2 linked regions of the Sus scrofa genome follow. The protein of the gene in region 1 purifies or fractionates together with the protein of each later gene. This does not show direct contact. Links are inferred from orthologs where the notes say so. Each region holds a gene or a part of one and is shown on either strand. Other genes may lie near its edges.

Region 1 (9,987 bases):
GGTCTTTTTGCCTTTTCTTGGGCCGCTCCCGCGGCATATGGAGGTTCCCAGGCTAGGGGTCTAATCGGAGCTGTAGCCGCCAGCCTATGCCAGAGCCACAGCAATTCGGGATCCGAGCCGCATCTGCAGCCTGCATCACAGCTCACGGCAACGCCGGATCGTTAACCCACTGAGCAAGGCCAGGGATCGAACCCGCAACCTCATGGTTCCTAGTCGGATTCGTTAACCACTGTGCCACGATGGGAACTCCTAGACTTTTAACAGTAGAAGAAGAGAGGTGTATTTGTGTGTGTGTGTGTGTATGTGTTTACCATTGACTTCAAAAGGCTTCGTAGTTGAAGTTTGATGTGACTTTAATGCATAGTCTCATTATAATGGTGCTAGTAAGGGCCTGCTACTCAAAATGTGTTGTTCTATTCTCTGATGTCTGAAATTCCTTTTAAAAATTAATAGATGTACAGTTCAATAAATTTTAAAAATTTTATGCAAAATTAAAATTTCTTGAAAACAAGTTTTGAGAACTTGAGATAGGAAAAATCAATACAGTTAACTCTTAATTAGAACAGTGAGGAGGTTGGGGCACCAGCTCTGCATGATTAGAAAGCGGCATGTAACCTTGCATCCGGGCCTTTCCGTTTGCAGAATCAGCCCACCATGGATCAGGTAGTGCTATAGTGTGAGTTTAGTGAAAAAAAATCAATGCATACATGTGCCTGCAGAGTTCGAGGCTCCACTGTAAGTCGTTTTTAGGGGGAAGGGCCTGTTGTACTCAAAACAGGCAGGGCAAAAGTAGGTCAGTAAAACTTTATTCACTTAAAAATTTAACCTAAGGTTTGGCGCTCTTTATGGTGTTAGCTTACAGTTAACATTTGGTATTAATAACAGCAACAGCAAAGTAGCCCCCTTTTTTCTTAATATATATCATCTCAGTCTATACATCATCCTGTGGGACTGGTGGAATTAGTCCTATTTGAAATATGAAGGAACAGTTTCAGTGACATGAAGTAACTCATTAAGTCGTACCCTATTGAGTAGCAGAGCTGGGGTTCAGAAAGCTCACTTGCTGAACACTTGGAACAAGAACATGTCAAATCTTACTAGAAGTAATGCTTTTTCTAGTGATTGCTTTTTGTTTAATAATGATGAAGAATAATAAGAGGGAAATGCGGTAAGTTTTTTTCATTAGAAATAACTCATAGGAGTTCCCGTCGTGGCGCAGTGGATAACGAATCCGACTAGGAACCATGAGGTGCGGGTTCGGTCCCTGCCCTTGCTCAGTGGGTTAACGATTCGGCGTTGCTGTGAGCTGTGGTGTAGGTCGCAGACGCAGCTCGGATCCTTCATTGCTGTGGCTCTGGCTTAGGCTGGCGGCTACAGCTCCAATTAGACCCCTCGCCTGGGAATTTCCATATGCCACAGGAGCGGCCCAAGAAATGGCAAAAAGACAAAAAAAATAAATAAATAAAAAGGAATAACTAATAAAAAATTTGGGTGGGGTTTTCGGGGTTGTTGTTTTGGTTTTTTGTTTTGTTTTGTTTTCTTTTCTTTTTTCTTTTTGGTCTTTTTACAGCCACACCCATGACATAGGTAAGTTCCCAGGCCGGGGGTCAGAGCTGTAGCTGCCAGCGACAATCACACCACCACCAAATCCTTATCTCACTGAGTGAGGCTGCATCCTTGTGGATACTAGTTGGGTTCATTACCGCTGAGGCACCATGGGAACTCCTGGGGAGAATTTTTGATGAAAGCGACACAAAACATTTATCAGTGTGTGGAAGCCTGTAGGCATTTGTAAATTTTGTTGAATAGATTGCCTTGTCAATGACAAAATAGAACAGAGAAAAGCAGTGAGAAAAATAAGAATTTTATGCTACTTCTTATAGAATTTATTTAGGACCAGGTAGAATTTAGTTATTTATTACAGCATCTCATTTCTTTTGAAAGGTGCCTGATTATTATAAAATAATTAAAAACCCAATGGACTTGTCAACCATCAAGAAAAGACTACAGGAAGATTATTCCATGTATACAAAGCCTGAAGATTTTGTAGCTGATTTTAGATTGATCTTTCAAAACTGTGCCGAATTCAATGAGGTGAGAAGGAAGAATAATAATAGCAATGTGAGAGTAACACTAAACCAAATAGCTTATCAGCAACCAAGATCAAGATACTATCATTGGTAGCGTATTATTTCCAAAGTTCAAGTCTGTCAGGGAGTGAAAGAGGCAATTAGGAAGATTTTATCCGCATGTATATTCGAAGGTTTATTATGTGGTGAAGGGAAATGCGAATTACAGCTGACAGCTTGAAACCAGCTTAGAAAATATTGGTTCTAAACCAAAAGTATTCTTTGTCATTCTCATTATCACCTTTATTTCTTGAAATATGGCACTTTCAAACTTTAGTCTTTGTGATGTTGATATTGAAATGTGGAATAAGTTCTTAAGAATTTTCCCCAAAACTTTGTCATCAGTCAGTTTATCAGTCAGACTTACAGCCTTTTGCTGATTTTGGGGGGGGGGGTGAGGGGGTTGGTTCTGTGTTAGTCTCTCATTCCAGAGTTCCACATTTCATTTGATCTGTTCTTAAAAATACCTGTTACTTGATTCTGTGATGATGGTGTCTCTTTGATCTCTCTTTGGTAATCTCCGACTACCACCCCTCGTAGAATAATCCAGATGAGTCAAGGCCTTTTATTTACTTTTTATCTGATCTTCTCTAGACTTTGTCTAGCTCCTGACTGTCATTTACTTTATAGCAATACTGTACATACACATTTTCCCCAAAACACTCCACTGGCATTTGTAGTCTTGAGTTAAAAGGGAACAAAAATGGGAGAAATCTACTACTTTTATTGATTATCTACAGATTTTTCTAAATAATATTTTTGCTTTTATTCAACAGCCTGATTCAGAAGTAGCCAATGCCGGTATAAAACTTGAAAGCTATTTTGAAGAACTTCTGAAGAACCTTTACCCGGAAAAAAAGTTTCCCAAACTAGAATTCAGGAATGAATCAGAAGATAATAAATTTAGTGACGACTCAGATGATGACTTTGTACAGCCCCGGAAGAAACGCCTCAAAAGCATAGAAGAACGCCAGTTGCTTAAATAAGCAGCACCACTGGCCCATGCTGGTTTTTAGATTTTTGTCAGTAATTTAACATCATTACCAAGAAGAGTTTGTGACCACTCTTTAAGTTTTTGATGTTTGCTAGACTTGATTTTCTTAATAACCCATTTCTTTTAACCTTACAAGAAAGAACAAAGAAGAGGAAGGAAGGAAAAGGAAGAAAGAAAGAAGCATCAGCAACAAAAGACATTTTCCCCACGTATTGGATTTCAAACTGCAGTCTGGAGCGATAGCTATTCTAGAAAGGAAATAGATGTTGTATGAACTCTAAATTGAAAGTTTAATGGCTTGGATGTGTGCATTAACCCATTTTTAGAAAATACCACTACCCATTAATTATGGACCAACCCATGAGTTAGGTGTACTGTACTTGAGAGCAGTACTCCATGAATGTGAGTGGTAAGAAAGAGTTCTATCCTAGAATGCCCACTGGTGCAACGAAAAAGTAGATTAGATGCTACTACGAAGCACCTGATAGTATATCATGTAAGATGGCAACTGTATTAAAAAAAAAGCAGGAAAACGAATGTTTGATTTTTGTTTTTGTTTTTTTCTTGTCTCTAGAGGTGTTTGGTATAGCAGGTTTTCAAGGCCATTTTTCATACGTTTCTAAGTCTTACCTTCTGCTGTGGAAGTAAGTGTACTTGTTTGGTTTTGCTCTGTGTCTGTGTGGTTTGTTGTTTGCCTTTTAACTGTGCAGGTGACCCTTTTATAATAAGACTCAATTGTTTGCAGTATGGCTTTTAGTGGAACTTCTCAGAATTTGAAATACAGCAGTGTATGCCATATGCGATGTCAGGATTCCTCAACTTAAACCCTATTGGGCATTAAATATAAATTCCCCTGAAAGGGAATAGTTTTTGTGGTTTTCATCTGTCTTCATAATTCCGGATGAAAGTGTGTTGTAGAATTTGGGGCCAGGCAATCGGAAGGAATTAGACTGAAAAATTTTTTTCAGAAGCATTTATTTCCTATTTTTCAGAGTCAAACTGTCAAATTGAGTCTTTGATCTAACTTAATTCTGGGTTTCATTTTCGTTCTCTTAATAGAGATACAAAAGACCTGTCTTCTGAGGGCAAGTATATTCTTAATGGGTCAGAGCTACTTTAACATTCATTCATTCCCTTTACTTGTTAATGTCAAAGAAGGAGATGAGATTAAGATAGAAGAAAATTTTGTGCCACGTGCTAATCTAACATGTGACAGTAACATTTACATGTGGACTTCTTTGTTTGCCAAAGTAAACCTCTATTTATGAAACAGTAAAGGAGGAAATTTTTCTCTTTCGGCTGATAGAATTAAAATAGAGCTGACTTCGAAGAATTTTTACCCTTTGGATCATGTCATCTCTCACGAATTCAACCTAGAGGACTTGCTTTTACCCACATAGCATCATTTCCTAAAATAGACATTTGAAAGTATTCTGTGGCTAAGTCACTGGGTTTTCAGATACTGCTAGAGATAAAATGAGAAAATAACTTCTTGGCAGTAAACTTAGGTTTAGTCCACAATATATCAATCATGTATTAAATGCTTAAAACGTCTTAATTTTCAAAATCGGTTTTTCAGGGTAGTTGTTGTGGTTTTATTGTTTTGAATATGCATTTGACATTCTCCAAAGAAGTTAACAAAATTTACCGCTTATCTTTTTTTGCTCCACCATTTTTAGCACAGCAGCTATGGTAATTCTGCTAGTAAGTTTATTGTTGTTATCTTAGACTGTATTGTTCCTCTGACATTTTTTTTCTTCCGTACTTGTCTCCTGAGTTAAAGCAGGCAACACGGATCGATTTTGAGGATGATCACAAAGGGAAGTAGCACTTAACAGAGAAAAATGTGTAATTTCCTAAATGCATTTGAGCCAGAATTTCTACTAATGTACCCAGAACTTACACTGTTATTTTCAGTGCCGTATTAATCTTTCAGAGCAGTATTCTCTTTCACCTTTCTCATATTTTTGCTGAATGAAAGGCAGTTGAAACCCATCTTTCCTGTAATCAAACATTATACATATTAAAATGTTTCTCTCTCCAAATAGCAGTTTTTTAATGGTCTTTAAAACTGAAGTCCTATGACCTTATTGTAACAAGCACCTGTGTGCCCAGGTGGATCCCAGCACAGTCATCCTTAAAATAAGAGGTAAGCTATGAGTCTGACTATACCACACGCCCATTTGGAGAGCATTCTCCGGGAAAGTCAGTGCAATTCAGGCAACCTTGACCTTAAAGAACTCCAGGAGATCTCCCTCAGTATTTAAAAACCAATAGCCTTGTGTCATAGCTGCAGGACCCCCAATACTGAATGTCGTCACAGGATGAGCTGGCTATGTGGCAGCTAGAATTCACTCAGTTCAACTCATGGAAAGCTTTCTCAGGTGCCATGCATTTGATCTTTCTAGCAATGAAAAAACCCAGTACACAGCGACTTAACATGACTGTGGCCTAGGCTTAATTAGATAGTGTGTACCCTATTTGAAACACTATTGTACGTTAGCATCTGACAGTGCTAATGTATTTTGTCCTTGAACAGGCCCTGCTTATCTTTTCTGAATGGAAGTGTAGCACATTGGAAGGTGCCAAAGGGAAAATGTGCTCTTCCTTTGGTAATTTTACTTTCTTTTCCAAGTTTAGACTTTGCCAAGAATAGACCTCACATTTTACTCCTACACAGTACTATTGATGTAACATAACTTAGCAGTGCTTTCACTCTGCTTAGGATTCACTCCACAGTCCAAAGGGTGAGTGTATAGCCAATTTCTCCATTTGTGGATTTGCATTTCAAATTTCTGTGCTGCTGCAGTGTTTTAAACTTTTAAATTTGGGTTCCATGGAGAGACTAGTTAGGCAATGAAAGGAGGGGAACTATTGTTGAGGCCTGATCTACCAATGAACCTGAATCCCAAAAGTAGATTGCTGCATAGGAGCAAAAGGTTTTTAGGTTTAAACTGAAGCTGTATTTACTTTCTGCTTCTCTGTATCTGTTATGAATGAAAGAAATTGTGTGATCTCATTGACCTTTAAATTACGGACATAACTGTGAGTTCAACAATCTAACTTCTTAGGAAATAGAGGCCCTCCTTTTAAATAACCATGCATATATATATATATATATATATATATATTTTTTTTTTTTTTTTTAAGCATTTTAGAACCTCATGTAAGTTAATAGGTCATGTCTTTTATATGTATTGCCCCTTCATCTTGGGCGTGAACTTACCGAGTCATAATTCTCGTGTTGGTGGCTCATGTTCTTGAGTCAGAATAGTGCCAGTCAGTCAGACCACAGGTCTCTCCCCCATGAAGGTTTTGCTGATTGTGAAGGACATCTGAGGCAGAGGTCTTTGTGGTTATTTTTAATTTGGGGGAGTCAACTGGTGCTTTGATTTAATCAGTATCATCTATGGTGGATATAAACTGTGAATATTTTACCACAAAGAGGAATTGTTAACTGAGAAATGACTGTATGTCATGCAGTAGACTATTAACGAGTTTGAGTTTCCATGACTACCTTTGTATGCTCCTCTGTAAAACTGATACATATAGGGAAGAGCTACTAGTCCATAAATAGGAAAGCTTTTAAGAGGAAAAAAAGCCCTAACGCATGTGTTTTCACCAGGAGGTAAGTCACTGTTTCCTGCTCCCCTGAACGAACCCAACACCCTGGCAGTAGGAGAACCAAAGAGGCCATGAAAAATTCTACTTGTCTGAAGCCTGTTGGAAGAAGGGGGTGGGGGGAACACAGCAGGGAGTTTACAAGCCACTTTAAAAGTTTACCTGTGTTAATTTCACCTATAAAGTTTGGAAAGTTGTGATTCTCAGATGTTAGAACAATTTTTAAAACTTTTGTATATCAAATAGGTCTTAAATTGATGGGGGTGGGAATAGCCTTCTATTTGATTTTTAAATGAGTTTTTAAACGGAATAACAAAGTCATAATCGAGTCCTTTAAAAAACATGCTTTCTTGGACATGACAAGCTAAACATTTAGCAAAATAATTTCTTTCCTACATTTTCAAATGTGGTATGGAAGAAAGTCTATTTTAATAGCATCTAACCATGCAGGAATATACTTGTGAATTCTTCTTGTTTGTTTGTTTTGGTCTTTTTAGGGCTGCACCTGAGGCATATGGAGGTTCCTAGGCTAGGGGTCAAATCAGAGCTGTAGCTGCTGCCCTGCACTACAGCCACAGCAGTGCTGGATCCAAGCCTCGTCTGAGATGCACCACAGCTCATGGTAACACCAGATCCCTAACCCACTGAGCAAGGCCAGGGATCGAACCTGTGTTCTCACAGATGCTAGTCAGATTCATTTCTGCTGAGCCATGACAGGAACTCCGTGAAGGTGAATTCTTTACCCATGTTCTCTGCTACTTTTTAAACCAAGTCAGGTGAGCCAGAAAATTCAGTCCAGAACCAATGGCTGAAACCTGGTTGTCGTTGAGGGGAGGGGATAGAATATAAGGATCACCCAGAGTTGAGCATGTCGGGAATGTACTGACCTGAGAAGTGGTGTGTGGTCCCAAAGGAAATCGGTCTTGCTCCTTGGAAAGAAGAGGAGTGGCAACAAGCTCAGTAAGTCACCAGTTAGCATGCTTTGCTTATGATTCTGTTTCTTTAATCTGATTGCATAAGGCATTTACTAATGAAGGTGTATCTTAAGAAAGCCCAGGATCCAAAAAGTCCAAGATAAAAGGTTTTGGCATTTACATTACAGAAGGATTTTTTTTTTCTTTTTTTTTTTTTTTTTTTTTTTTGGCCACTCTAGACTGCTTTGAAGAGACAGGAATCAATCAAATTCTCTTCTATTAGAGGAACTGTTAGAGGAGTTCGGTTGTGGATCAGCAATAACGAACCCAACTAGCATCCGTAAGGACACGAGTTCAGTCCCTGGCCTCGCTCAGTGGGACAGGGGTCCAGCGTTGCTGTGAGCTGTGGTGTAGGTCACAGATGGGGCTCAGGTCCTGAATTGCTGTGGCTGTGGCCCTGCAGCTGGCTGCAGCTCCAATTCGACTCCTACCCTGGGAACTTCTGTATGCCACACCGGCATCCCTAAAAGGAAAAAAAAAAACCCAAACCCAAAAAACTATTAGATTCAGACAAAGTCAACCTCCGTCTTATTGCATAAAGCACAACATGCCTGTAGAAAGATTCCGCTTGTGTTACTTCATCACAGTGTTGTCTTTTATGAGTTCTGAAAGGTAAACCCGAAATTGGTTGACTTCCGTTTCTGCTAGTGCCTGTGCTGCTAAGGTAAGCAATGTACCAGAGTTTATAAGGGATTTTGGACATTTCTTTCAGTATTTCAGTTAAAATTATGTTGATAAAGTTGCTGTAGACCAAATGAGTGTTTTTCTAGGAAGCTTGGGTCCTAGGCAGTGCTAGGCAACATTTTAAAATATCTTAATTCAGGTGACTTCCCACAAGTATTGAAAGTTCCTGAAATCCTTGGGAAATTACTGAAGCTTGAGTTGTGTCAGTGGTCGACCGTGGTTCTCAATACTGCTATCTTTTCATTTTCATTATAAATTGCTACTAATATGATCTTTGGAGTTTTCATTTATGATATGTCACAGGTTGTTTGCCTGACCGTATACACGCAGCCAAGACATCTTTGCATCAAAAATGTTTTGACCTAAAATTTCTAAAAAGTCCACCAAGGTCTGAAAACTAATGAAATGATTAAAGACGCCAGGGTAGGTATTCCAAACAAACTGTATTTAACGTTTCATGAAGAGGGCATCTCCATTCACGAGGGTTCAGAGAACAGCAGAACAGGGAAGGCAGGCAGTTTTTACAGGGTAAAGAATAAGGAACAAGGCAAAAAGTATGGAGCCCAGAGGTCGCTTGGCGTTTGGGGGTTGGCTGACTGGATATACGACATTTCTGTCAAACAGCACTTATTGGAACATGAAAGTCGTTTAACTTTTATTTTGCTTAAGTGGCACTCCTCGAAGGAGGGGCTCCACCTTGCGCTAGAAATTTATTTCAGTAATAGCACCTTTTGTTTATTTATTTATTTTGCCTTTTCTGGGGCCGCACCCTCAGCATATGGAGGTTGCCAGGCTAGGAGTCTAATTGGAGCTGTAGCCGCCGGCCTACACCACAGCCACAGCAACGCAGGATCTGAGACGCGTCTGCGACCTACACCACAGCTCCCGGCAACACCGGATCCTTAACCCACTGAGCAAGGCCAGGGATCAAACCCGCAATCTCATGGTTCGTAGTCAGATTCGTTAACCACTGAGCCATGACGGGAACTCCCAGTAATAGCACCTTTTCATTATCGTCTTGACCATTTGAGAATTTTTGATCAAAAATGTCTGTTGTAGTGTGACTCTCGTAACCATTTCCTCTTTGGGGCTTCGTGTAACGGAAGAGATTTCAGGCTCATACTCTTGGCCTTGGTTATGTTCTTCTGTTCTCTCTGGTTGTTCTGGCCAGATGATGTGTTGGCTGGTCCGTGGCTGCATAGGTGCATGTAAAACCTTCCTGAGAACACAGCATATTAGGGCAGCAATAGTTTTTAGCATCAGAATAATGCCCATGGATTGAAGAGTGTTCCTGAGCCAGGGTTTCCATGTCCCAAACCAGCTGGAATCCATTAAGTCAAGGAATTATCTGAAAGAGGGGGACACTTCTTGAGCCAGTTGTCCTCTGTATTTTGTATAATGTATGATTGTACTTCTCCAGAAAGAGGTATCCAGTGAGCTTGTTCCAGAGAAACTGAGGCATTGGCAATCGGGGGAAATAACTCCAGGATCCCCAACATCACAGCAAGTCTAACCTTATATGTTTGGATTATACGCAGTTTTAAGGGCCTAAGGAATGTGACTAATGCAGTTCCTTTTCCATGCC
Region 2 (11,007 bases), on another chromosome or scaffold:
GTGTGTGTGTGTGTAAATGATTCAGTGGTGTGTTGTGTGCAAAGAGAAATGGTTGGCTCATGTCACACACGGTCTGGGTAAAGCGATGCATCTGGTCTACCTGGCAGGACTAATACAGAAGAGATTCAAGTATTAGTTAAGCATTAACATCAAAGCGCTCAAAATCCTTTCAGATTCTCTCGAGTCTAAGCCATGGTCATCTCTCTTCACATGACTGCATCCTCTCGTCACAGGTTTTGCTGCATCTGCTTCTACCCGCTCCAACCCCTTGGTGTCTCAGCCAGGGTGGTCTTCCCATCTCCCCCACCCCACATAGGTCCAAACACATCAGTAGTTTCTCATCCATATCCATTCCGCTTCTGTAAAAACGAGAGATCTGAAGGTCTCCAGGTCTGGCCTCCGTCTGTGACCCCACCCCCATTTCACACCCCCCACAGCCTGTGGTCCCTCTGCTCCAGCCAAAAACCTTTTCTTCCCCGCCTGCCAGGCTCCTTCCCTTGGCAGAGCTGGGCTTCTCTGCCTTGGACCCCCTTCCTTCCTCTCTCTCACCTGGGTTGCTTCCCCTCATCCTTCAGCTCTCAGCTTAAATGTCACATCTCCAGAAAGCCTGGCCTTCCCTGACCAGGTCAAGGACCTCTATCCTAGCCGCCCTCTCAGCACCGTCCGTCTCTTCTTCAACCCTGAGCCACAGCTGGAATTTGACATTTGTTTGCGGGGTTGATTTGATTAATGCCCATCTCTGGCACCAGAAGCTCCAGAAGGGTGAGGACCCTTCCTGTTTTTGCCCACTGCTTTCTGCTCCACGCAGAACGCCTCCCGTGAAAAGATGCTCCATACATTTTTGCTTCATTCAGGACAATGGATTTGTAAATCCTAACGGTGCTTGGGCTCACGTGCACAAAGATGGGGCCCGGGGGGTGGGGAGGCTGGGCCGAAGAGCGCACTGATGGCAGGCGCTGCTCCGTGGGGAGCTGTCAGGCTGGGAGATGGATGGGCTTGGGTACCAAGACGCCAAAGAGCCTCTCACGCCCGCCCCAGCAGGCGGGGCTCCAGCACGGAGGATAGAGCCTCAGATGGATCAAGATGAGAGGGCAGTGTGTGGGTGGGGGCGAGCCGATGGGGCCTGGAGCCTGCCGTGTCTACCCTCCATCAATCTCCAGCTTGGAGCCAACAAGGCCAGGCTGGCCAGCCCGGAATGTGCTGAGGCAGCTTTGACACTCACCTGGACCCACATACCATTTTGCGGTTGTAGACAATAGCGTCACATACGCACACGAACATGGAGTCTCTAAGAACCAACTCCCAGCTGAGCCCTGGGGCTGCAGATGGGGGAACACGTCCCAACACCAGATCTCAGGAAACCTCCAAGTTGGAAGGGAACTTACAGGCCGTTTAATCCTACCCCAAAGCTTGAATCCCTTCAACATTCCTGCAAGGAGCTCCAGATGGACCGCCTGGCCTACAACATCTGCATAAACGAAGCCCAGTGCTTCTCACCAAGCACATGGAGCAAAACCAAAATCCCTTGATCCGCACCTGCTCACCTTTCCGCACACACCTTCACACGCTACTCCGACCTCGCAGGCCAGTGGGGCCCCTCACACGCCAGCCCCTACCCCCACATCTCCTTTGCTTTCCTTGTGTTAACTCGTGACAGTCCGCAGTGCCTTTCTGTCGCAGACCCACTGGCCAAGGAACAGCATGAGGCTAGAGACCCCCAGGGCAGGAAGGAAAAGCCCCCAGGATTCTGCCTGTCTTTCCTGGTGTGAATGACCACAGGAAGGACAGAACCTGTTTCCCCTGCCCCTTGGGCCACTGTCCGCTCACGGACTTTTGCGTTTGTGTTTGTGTGTGTGTGTGTGTGTGTGTGCGCGCGCGCGCAGGTAGGGGGGTGCCTCCAAGAGGTGGGGGCCAAGAAGAGGTGCGCAGCCCTTATCGGCTCTTAAGTAACTCCCAGGACGGGTTAGAGGGTACAGAGTCAGGTAGACTCGGAACTGTGTGCTTTCTGATAAAGGGGAGCGTTTCTGGATTCTTAAGGAGGATCTCTACATGATGTTTGGAAAAGCCACTGTTCTTCCCAATAACTCTTCCCCTAACTGGTATTTGTATCTGGGTTTCTCCCCCGCCCCCACCCCTGGGGCAGATTCCCCCACCCCACCCCTGCTTTGTCCTACTCTCCAAGAGCAAGGGCCTCCTCTCCCCTTCCACATCCTCTTCGCACTGTCCACCCCCCCGCCCCGCCCGAGGGGAGTCCCTGATTCGAGAGCGGGTCCATCCTCTCCCTCCCACTCTGCCATCCGCCTCATCAACGGGCACATCTCCATTGTTTCAGCATCCTCCCTTCCCTCTTCCCGGCTCTCTCGCCTTTCTGAGACCCCCAAAGAGTTGATTGAGGGGAATGTGTGTGTGTAGGGGGGGTCTGGCTGTTCTCTGGTTGGGGGTCAGGGGGAGCTGGGAGAGGGGAAGGTTGTGGTCACTGGGACTGCTCCTGGCCGAGGGGGGTCCGCGAACAAGGACTCCTCTCCGAGGGCTGTGTGCCTACTGTCCGACTCCGGAGGATTCACTGGGAAAAGGAACTCATCTGGGGACCAGATGCCCAGTGGTGGCAGCAGAGGCCAATTCCTGGGATGTGGTCCCACAAAGTAGACTCTCCCTGCACTCCCCCCCCCCACCCCCTGCACCCAGAGGGGAGATGCTCAGGCAGCTGGCCAGCGACACTGAGGGGCCGGGGCGGGGGGGGGCAGGACCCCAGGAAGCCCTCCTTTCCTGGAACCTGAAGGTTCACAGACTCACCCCACAAAGTAGGAGATGATCAGGAGCTGAACTGCTCGGTTGATGATCCCAATGGTCCAGCTTTTCACAACCACAGACTTGGTGGTCTCGTAGGTGAAGAAATCTGAGATGCAGTTCATGCTGAGAATGACCCCTCAGAAGGGACCCAGTGGTGGCCTCAGGAGGGAGAGGTCATCAGATGGGGAGACAGAGATCAAGGTCTGGAGGGGGCAGCTTAGAGGGGCTCAAGGAAAGGGCAGGCTGTTCCTTTAAGTCAGGCACCTAAGCCCAGTGCCCAGCTCCTCTCTGCTCTTGACACTCTGAGCTGCCAAGAGTCCAAGGCCAGGGCGGGGGACCCCCTTTTTGTTCGTCTCCACCCCACTCCCCTGTGATGTCATGGTAGGGGTGGGGTCTCCAATCCCAGGCTCCTGATTGCCTGGGATGCAGCTGGCTAGGGCCCTCTAGGACTCATGTTTTATCTGCACTCTGTCTATCGTTTCGGTTCCATCCTCTTATGCTGCATCTTCATCCCGGCTCACCAGCTGCTTCATGCTCTCTTTAAAGCCCCTTGCAACACACCACTCCCCAGCCACCTAATAGCCTGCCTGAGCTGAGTATCCCCTTCAATCCAGAGTGTCTTCCTTAAAGCCGTTCAATTCTGCAGGCGTCTCCTCCCTTCCTGAGTTGCCGGCAATACATGGGTCAAGGGGAGGGGTCTCCTGAATGTTTCTCTTGGTCTCCTGGGTGAGGGTGATTGGGGTTACATAGTTCCTATTTCTTACTCATGTTGGCAGTGACTGAAGCTCTACCTGCAGAGCACTATCACATTGGGTTTTTTTCCTTTTTCTTTTCTTTTTCTTTTTTTGCTTTTTAGGGCCGTACCCATGGCATATGAGGTTACCAATGCTAGGGGGTCGAATCAGAGCTACAGCTGCCGGCCTATGCCACAGCCACAGCCACGTGGGATCCGAGCTGCTTCTGCGACCTACACCACAGCTCACGGCAACACCAGATCCTTAACCCGCTGAAGGAGGTCAGAGATCGAACCCACATCCTTGTGGAGCCTAGTTGGGTTCATTAACCATTGAGCCACGAAGGGAACTCCCACATTGGGTATTTTCTTGTTCTATTTTGTTTTACCATCAGTTTACTTATTTGAATCATTTATTAGATGTCACATGCCTGGAAAACTGGGGCTGTTTCCATCTTGTTTACTAGTTTCCACAAATCCTATCACTGTGTTAGAGTTCAACACATATCTGTTGAATCTAGTTGGCTTATGTTGCTAGATAGCGTGGGAACAGCCATTACCCAGAGGTTAAAGTCGTGAGTTCAGGGAGCAACAGTGCATTCACGTCATCTTGTGTCCCAAGCTGGGGTAACTGTAGGTCAGACTGTCAAAGAAATCTGGAGTTTAAATATTCTGTCTCAATGTTTTGTATACTTGACATCTATTATCAATCATTCCGAATGGAGAATCACTAGACGGGCTAAGTAGATTTTGGGTTTTGTTCCCCAGGCCACTCCTCTTAGGGCCTCAGTTTCCCGATCTTCAAAAGGAAGCTGGAGCAGACGAATCCAAACATCTCTTACTCGTCCAGCCTCCTCTGATTTTGCGAGGTGCACCCTAGGACTCCATAAGGGGGATCTGGCTTATGAAAGCCCAGGCTGCTGTGATTTCAAATCAGTTCTGGCTCCACGGTGAATGTGACACCAGCACTTGAACCTGATACCGCCGCCGCCGCCGCCGCTGGCCAGCCTCTTCCAGGAGACTCAAACCTTGCATTTATCGATGTCAAGTTTTGGGGTGCAGTGAACTCACTTCAAAAAGGATCCAATCCCTTGTGACAGGGGTGAGCAGTATAGTCACAGCGATACCAACACTCGCATTCTCTTCGAAGCCAGTGGGAGGGGTCATTTCTCTCCACAAGTCGTTAAATATTTTCCTTCTTGTCCTACAAACTCCTTTCTATTCCACAGAAACCACTATGGGGCGGGAGAGAGTCGCCCGTCATTGCTACGCACGCACACGCATCTTTGGCAAGTCTGATAAAATGCAACTACACAGTTTCTCTTTAAAGTCTTGTCGTTCCCGGAAGGAGTGTCTGTGATTTTTAAAGAGCCCGACACGCTCCCATTTTCTAGTCGGACGCCAAACGGGCGGGACATCAGTGTAACCCGGCTTCCCTCAGGTCCTCCAGCGCTGTGGACGCTCTATGGGACCGCCTCGAAGGCGGGCCGCGTTTCGCGCCTCTCTAGCCGGCTCCTCCTCTCTATGGTCCGTGCTGGGCTTCCGGTGGCGGGACGCGGGGCCGCGCACGCGGGAAAAGCTTCCCCAGCGTCCCCCCCGGACCCCCCGGACCCTACACCCCCGCTGCGTCCCCCAGCGAGCCCACCGCCCGCTTGCGGGCCGTCTGAGGCCGCAGCTTGAGAAAGTAGGTGGTCGCTATCGCCGCGCCCCAGGAAGGCGAGGGCCCTGCTCCCCCGCGGGACGCGTGGGATGGACTGTTCCGCGTTGGAATCCGCGGGCAGCGGGCGAATCCATTTTAGCGGGAGGGGAGAACTGTGGGCCTGGGGCCGCGGCGCGGTGGGAGCGCTGGGAGGGAACTCGTGCTTTTTGAGCGGGGTTGGGGCGCGGGCGAGGTGCGGGCTCCGGATGGCCCAGGGGTTCCGCTGCTCGTTGCCATGGCGCCCGGTGGAGCGCCCAGAGGGGGTGTCTGGTTGGGATGTAAGAGGTACTTCGGGCCGGCTTCTTAAGCCCCGGCCGGGCCTGGCCCTGGAGTTCTGCAGAACCGGCTTGCAGGGTTCCCAGGCAGGGAGATCGTGAGACATCCCAGGCACAGGAAGGGTTGCCACTAGGCTCCCTCCGTGGCCAGCATGAGGTGTTGTTTTTTCCACTTAACTTCAATCCACTTATCCCTCTTCAATTCAGATTCCCAGCCTGCGTTGTGTATCTGCACAACGTACCCAGGAGTTGGGGCCCAGCTCCCAGTTGAGGCCTACAGGGGCAGGTCAGCATGGCAGAAACACTGGAGTTCAACGACGTGTATCAGGAGGTGAAAGGCTCTATGGTAAGAAGGACTGGGGCTTTTGAAACAGATGGAGGGAGGGAGGCGGAGTAGACTTTTTATCCACTCGCAAGAGCTTGTGCTGATGATGTTGCTACTTTGGAAAAGAAGTCAGTTCGATGTGTATTTGGTAGTTCCCCAACAAGAAGCATTACTGAGTGAGGATACAAGAGTTACAGGATGTCAGAGTTTGAAGGGACTACACCTGCTGCTCAATCCTGAATCCCCAAACTGAGGACCTGCACGGGTTCTGGATGCCAGAGCGAGGATTAGAATCCAGATCTTCTGGCCTTACTCGTCTCTTCTTGCCAGCCCTCACCACTTCAGCTGTTATTGCTCCTGCCTGATACCTGACCAGCCCAGAATGGGTGTTGGGTGGGACCGTCCCTGCTCTACGCTATGGTCGTCCCTGTGCATTTGGGCCTGTTTTCCCAACAGAATGATGGTCGGCTGAGGTTGAGCCGCCAGGGCATCATCTTCAAGAACAGTAAAACGGGCAAAGTGGACAACATCCAGGCTGGGGAGTTGACCGAAGGGATCTGGCGCCGAGTAGCTCTGGGCCATGGACTTAAACTGCTCACGAAAAATGGCCACGTCTACAAGTACGACGGCTTCCGAGAATCGGTGAGATGCCCCTTGCCATAGCCCCCTTTACTGTGCCATCTTCTTTAGTTTTAATCTTCTTGAGAGAAGTGGGGCTCCTTCTGATAACCGTGCAGTTGCTAGTTTGGGATCCTTAAAGCAGGACCGTGGAAGCCATTAAGCAGTCAGTGTTCAGCTTTGGGCTGCAGAGTCTCGGGAGTTTCTTTGTGCTTTAACTCCAGAAACTTTTCTACTGTTTTGATTTTTTTTTTTTTTTTTTTTTTTTTTTTTTTTTTTTGGTGGTTTCTGCCTGTTGCCTTATCCAGGTTCAGGGGCTTACCTTGAGGTTTTAGGTTGGTGTTGTTTTTCCATTTTGAACGGCTTGTGTTAAAGACTTTACTTCATTTCCACTTTCACTAAAGGAATACCTGTCCAAAGTCAGAAAAACACTGTGAGACCTGCAAGCAGGAGTGTCAGTCCTTACTTTACTCCTCCCCCAGCCCGAGTCCAGCCAGTCCCCAGAAATAGCCTTTTTCAACAGTGTTTTAACAATATTATAGCTCTAAGTCAGCGTGGATTTCTGATGAAAGTTTATTGGGGTCGTTTCTCAGAAGCAGATAATCTCAGGACCCTCAAGTTCTGTGTTAAGGCTACTGGGGTTTCACTGGGCTTGTTCTTTCCCCTCTTCCCACAGGAGTTCGAGAAACTCTCTGATTTCTTCAAAACTCACTATCGCCTTGAGCTGATGGAAAAGGACCTCTGTGTGAAGGGTTGGAACTGGGGAACAGTGAAGTTTGGGGGTGAGTCCTGGGGAAGATTGAGGTTTGCGGGGAGGAGGTAGGCTGAAGGGTTTCAGCCTTTAACTTGTTTTGCTCTCCTCCGCTGTTTCTGATTTCCTACCAGTTTGTAATTCATCACGTATTTATCGAGGACCAACACTGTATGAGGCACTGTGCCCGGTCCCTGGGGCACAGTGCGAACAAAATGGTCTCAGTGCCCTGTCCTTTGGGAGCCTCTAGGCTGGTAGGAAGGAACATTGTTTATGCGGAGCCGAGGGAAGGAGCTTGTGGCTCAGTGTGCCCTTTCCTACAGGGCAGCTGCTTTCCTTTGACATTGGTGACCAGCCGGTCTTCGAGATCCCTCTCAGCAACGTGTCCCAGTGTACCACAGGCAAGAATGAGGTGACACTGGAATTCCACCAGAATGACGATGCAGAGGTCTCTCTCATGGAGGTGCGCTTCTACGTGCCCCCCACCCAGGAGGATGGCGTGGACCCCGTTGAGGTGAGGCCTCCCCTGGTCTCTTGGGAGCAGATGGTGCTGAGCAGGCCCTGGGTGGCCCAGGAGCAGGATCTCTGCTGCTCGATTGCCAGGGTGTGCTCTTATAGGCCTTTGCCCAGAATGTGCTGTCGAAGGCGGATGTGATCCAGGCCACCGGAGATGCCATCTGCATCTTCCGGGAGCTGCAGTGTCTGACTCCCCGAGGCCGTTACGACATTCGCATCTACCCCACTTTTCTGCACCTACACGGCAAGACTTTCGATTACAAGATCCCCTACACCACAGTGCTGCGTCTCTTTTTGCTGCCCCACAAGGACCAGCGCCAGATGTTCTTTGTGGTAAGAAACCACTGGGGGTGCATTGTGCTGGGTTTTGCCCCCGTCTTTAGTAGACAGATCTCCCCCACATTCAGTTAGCCGCACGGCCCTGTGGAGCACTGACTGCTGCTGAACTTGGTCGGCTCTTCCTTCCCAGATCAGCCTGGATCCCCCCATCAAGCAGGGCCAGACCCGCTACCACTTCCTGATCCTCCTCTTCTCCAAGGACGAGGACATCTCCTTGACTCTCAACATGAACGAGTGAGTGTGTCCCTGGTCTGGGCAGCTGTGCCATCCGAAGGCAGCAGTGCTTGTGACCACGCGTCTTGTTTGCAGGGAAGAGGTGGAGAAGCGCTTTGAGGGGCGGCTCACCAAGAACATGTCAGGATCCCTCTACGAGATGGTCAGCCGGGTCATGAAGGCACTGGTGAACCGCAAGATCACAGTCCCAGGCAACTTCCAAGGGTGAGGGTGCAGGCCTGGGCTGCCGGCCGGCCCGGGGATGGGCTGTGCCATGTCTCCACAGTAAACGCCTCCCGGGTTGGGCATGCAGCCCCTTACTGGCCTGGTTGGGGTGTGGCTGCCAAGGGGTGTGCCCTCTGGCCCTATGCCCCCTGCTGCTGAGGTGGGCGCTGACTGGAGGCCCTTTACCTTCCACCAGGCATTCGGGGGCCCAGTGCATCACCTGCTCCTACAAGGCCAGCTCCGGACTGCTGTACCCACTGGAGCGGGGCTTCATCTACGTCCACAAGCCACCAGTGCACATCCGCTTCGACGAGATCTCCTTTGTCAACTTCGCCCGTGGTACCACCACCACCCGTTCATTTGACTTTGAGATTGAGACCAAGCAGGGCACTCAGTATACCTTCAGTAGCATTGAGAGGTGAGCTCCTCTGCCAGTCACTTCCCGAGCATCCTGGTCCTGACCTGGCCTCGACCGAGAAGTCTGGCCTGGGGCTCCCCACTGACTTTTCAGGCCTCGGGCGGAATTTTTCTTCTGCTTTCTGGAATTTGGTCCTCCTCCTTGGAGTGCTCAGCCTTTGGCAGTCTCTCTGTTGCTTTTCTTCCTGTACTTAAAAGAGAATGGTTCTCCGTATTACGAAAGCTCTGTGTGTTTAGTGCTAGCCCTTCCCCTCCTCCCCTCACCCCACGATGGAAATACTATCTCCCTCTTTCCTGGAATGAGCTTCGTGCCCGAGAACACGGCAGCTAATGCCTATTGAGTGCTCGCTGTGGGCTAAACGTTTTACAAACAACCTCACACTTAATCCTCATAACCACCCTGAGAAGTATGAAATCCAGACCAGTAAAAAGATGATGGAACCCCCCTCTCCCACTGACATCCTCCCCCTGCCCTGTGCATTTCGGTAAATAGGTTCCCCCCCCCACCGCCTTTTCTTTTCCCAAACTCTTGAGACCATGTAGGTTGCCTTGGAGACTGGCGTCTGACTCTTTCTCAACGCCATCGTCTGGGGGTCTCTGAGCTCTTGGTTGGACCGTGTGGTCAAGAGCTCCCGGCTCCCCTGGCTGAGTGTCAGGACAGCACCAGGTTCACCCCTGCATTGACCCGTCCTGTCTGGTCACACAGTGCATCTCCCCTCACAGGGAGGAGTACGGGAAGCTGTTCGATTTTGTCAATGCCAAAAAACTCAACATCAAAAACCGAGGACTGAAAGAGGTACCTCTGTGGGTGGAGAAGGGTGAGCCCCCCTCCTGTTCTTTCTGTGGGGAAGGGGCAGGGCTTTCTCCGGCCTCCTTTTCACTTTCTCTTCTCTTCTTACCCTTATAGAAAAAAGAGGTGGTGTGACCCTTCCCCTCCCGGTGCAGGTTTCCTCAGCATGACCTTAGAGCAGTTTCTGCAACCCCTTAGGAGCCCCCAGTGGGGCTGGGAGAGGGAGGGGCTTGGACTAACCGCCTTGGCAGGAAGTCCTGGGCCAAGGCCCTACACATCGGCTGTGTGTGGACAATCTGGCCCCAGGGTCTTCTGGGCACTGCTGCTCTGATCTACTCACAGGCATGGGGAGTGCTTTTGAGTGTGCAGGCACCAGGGTGGGCCGGCCCTCACTCGCGCCTCTTCCCTGGCCAGGGCATGAACCCCAGCTACGATGAATATGCCGACTCTGATGAAGACCAGCATGATGCTTACCTGGAGCGGATGAAGGAGGAGGGCAAGATCCGGGAGGAGAATGCCAATGACAGCAGCGATGACTCAGGAGAAGAAACCGGTGAGTTCGCCTGGGCAGTGCCCGGCACTGGGGCGGTTGGCTCTCCCTGGGGCCAGGGCTGGGCTCACCCTGGGGCTGGAGCTGGGCCTCTGGATTTCCCTGGGGGGCCGAGCTGATGTGTCCTGTGCTCTTTTTCAGATGAGTCATTCAACCCAGGTGAAGAGGAGGAAGACGTGGCAGAGGAGTGAGTTTTGGGTCCACCTCGTGGGGGTGAGGTGGTGGCCTCTAAGCTTAAGGGACCAGAAGATTTTTGGACATTCCCACGTCTCAGCATTAGCAGCTGACCGAGGGTGGAAAAGTGACTTCCAGTGAGGTGATGATAAACGGAAACGTTTTGAAAGTTGTCGGGATGCTTTGTAGGTACAAGGGACATTGTGAAGCCGGAAGATGAGTGTGGAGAGAGAATGGGAATAAGGGCCAGTGCTGGCCTGCTTCCCCGCTGGGGGGGCCTTTGGGTCAGGCGTAGCATCTTGGTGGCCTCACCTGTGAAGTGCCAGTGTTCCCCTTGTGTGGTATCCGTCGAGACTCTTGATTGCCCATGTCAGAAATGGACTCAAACTGACTTGAGCATAAGAGGAATTCTATAAGCTCATGTAACTGGGAGTCTGATGCTAGAACTGGCTTCAGGCACCTGGATCCAAGTATTCAAAAGTTGTGGGGAATCTGTTTTTTAATTCTTCTGATTTCCTTATCTTAGATAAGTTTGCTCCTTATAGCACTAAATGACCCTGAGAAGCTTTGGGCAGGTTTAATTCTACTGGTT

Evidence for each region.
Region 2: the proteins of TRIM24 (region 1) and SSRP1 purify together in Homo sapiens (affinity purification with mass spectrometry; 3 studies listed by BioGRID and IntAct, with this or other methods). This does not show direct contact. The link is inferred for Sus scrofa from reciprocal best matches to the Homo sapiens genes TRIM24 and SSRP1.

What each region holds. Positions count from the first base shown.
Region 1 is NC_010460.4:11,050,389-11,060,375, reverse strand, and holds the end of TRIM24 (transcription intermediary factor 1-alpha), read left to right. Parts: intron 1-1,944; coding exon 1,945-2,094; intron 2,095-2,905; coding exon 2,906-3,115; 3' UTR 3,116-5,165; downstream 5,166-9,987. UniProt on the Homo sapiens protein: Transcriptional coactivator that interacts with numerous nuclear receptors and coactivators and modulates the transcription of target genes.
Region 2 is NC_010444.4:13,614,675-13,625,681, forward strand, and holds the start of SSRP1 (FACT complex subunit SSRP1), read left to right. Parts: upstream 1-5,046; 5' UTR 5,047-5,207; intron 5,208-5,704; 5' UTR 5,705-5,789; coding exon 5,790-5,843; intron 5,844-6,278; coding exon 6,279-6,464; intron 6,465-7,116; coding exon 7,117-7,222; intron 7,223-7,514; coding exon 7,515-7,705; intron 7,706-7,809; coding exon 7,810-8,040; intron 8,041-8,176; coding exon 8,177-8,280; intron 8,281-8,355; coding exon 8,356-8,484; intron 8,485-8,680; coding exon 8,681-8,902; intron 8,903-9,624; coding exon 9,625-9,697; intron 9,698-9,808; coding exon 9,809-9,817; intron 9,818-10,105; coding exon 10,106-10,244; intron 10,245-10,382; coding exon 10,383-10,428; intron 10,429-11,007. Other genes in the region: P2RX3 (P2X purinoceptor 3), read right to left, coding at 2,794-2,912. UniProt on the Homo sapiens protein: Component of the FACT complex, a general chromatin factor that acts to reorganize nucleosomes. The FACT complex is involved in multiple processes that require DNA as a template such as mRNA elongation, DNA replication and DNA repair.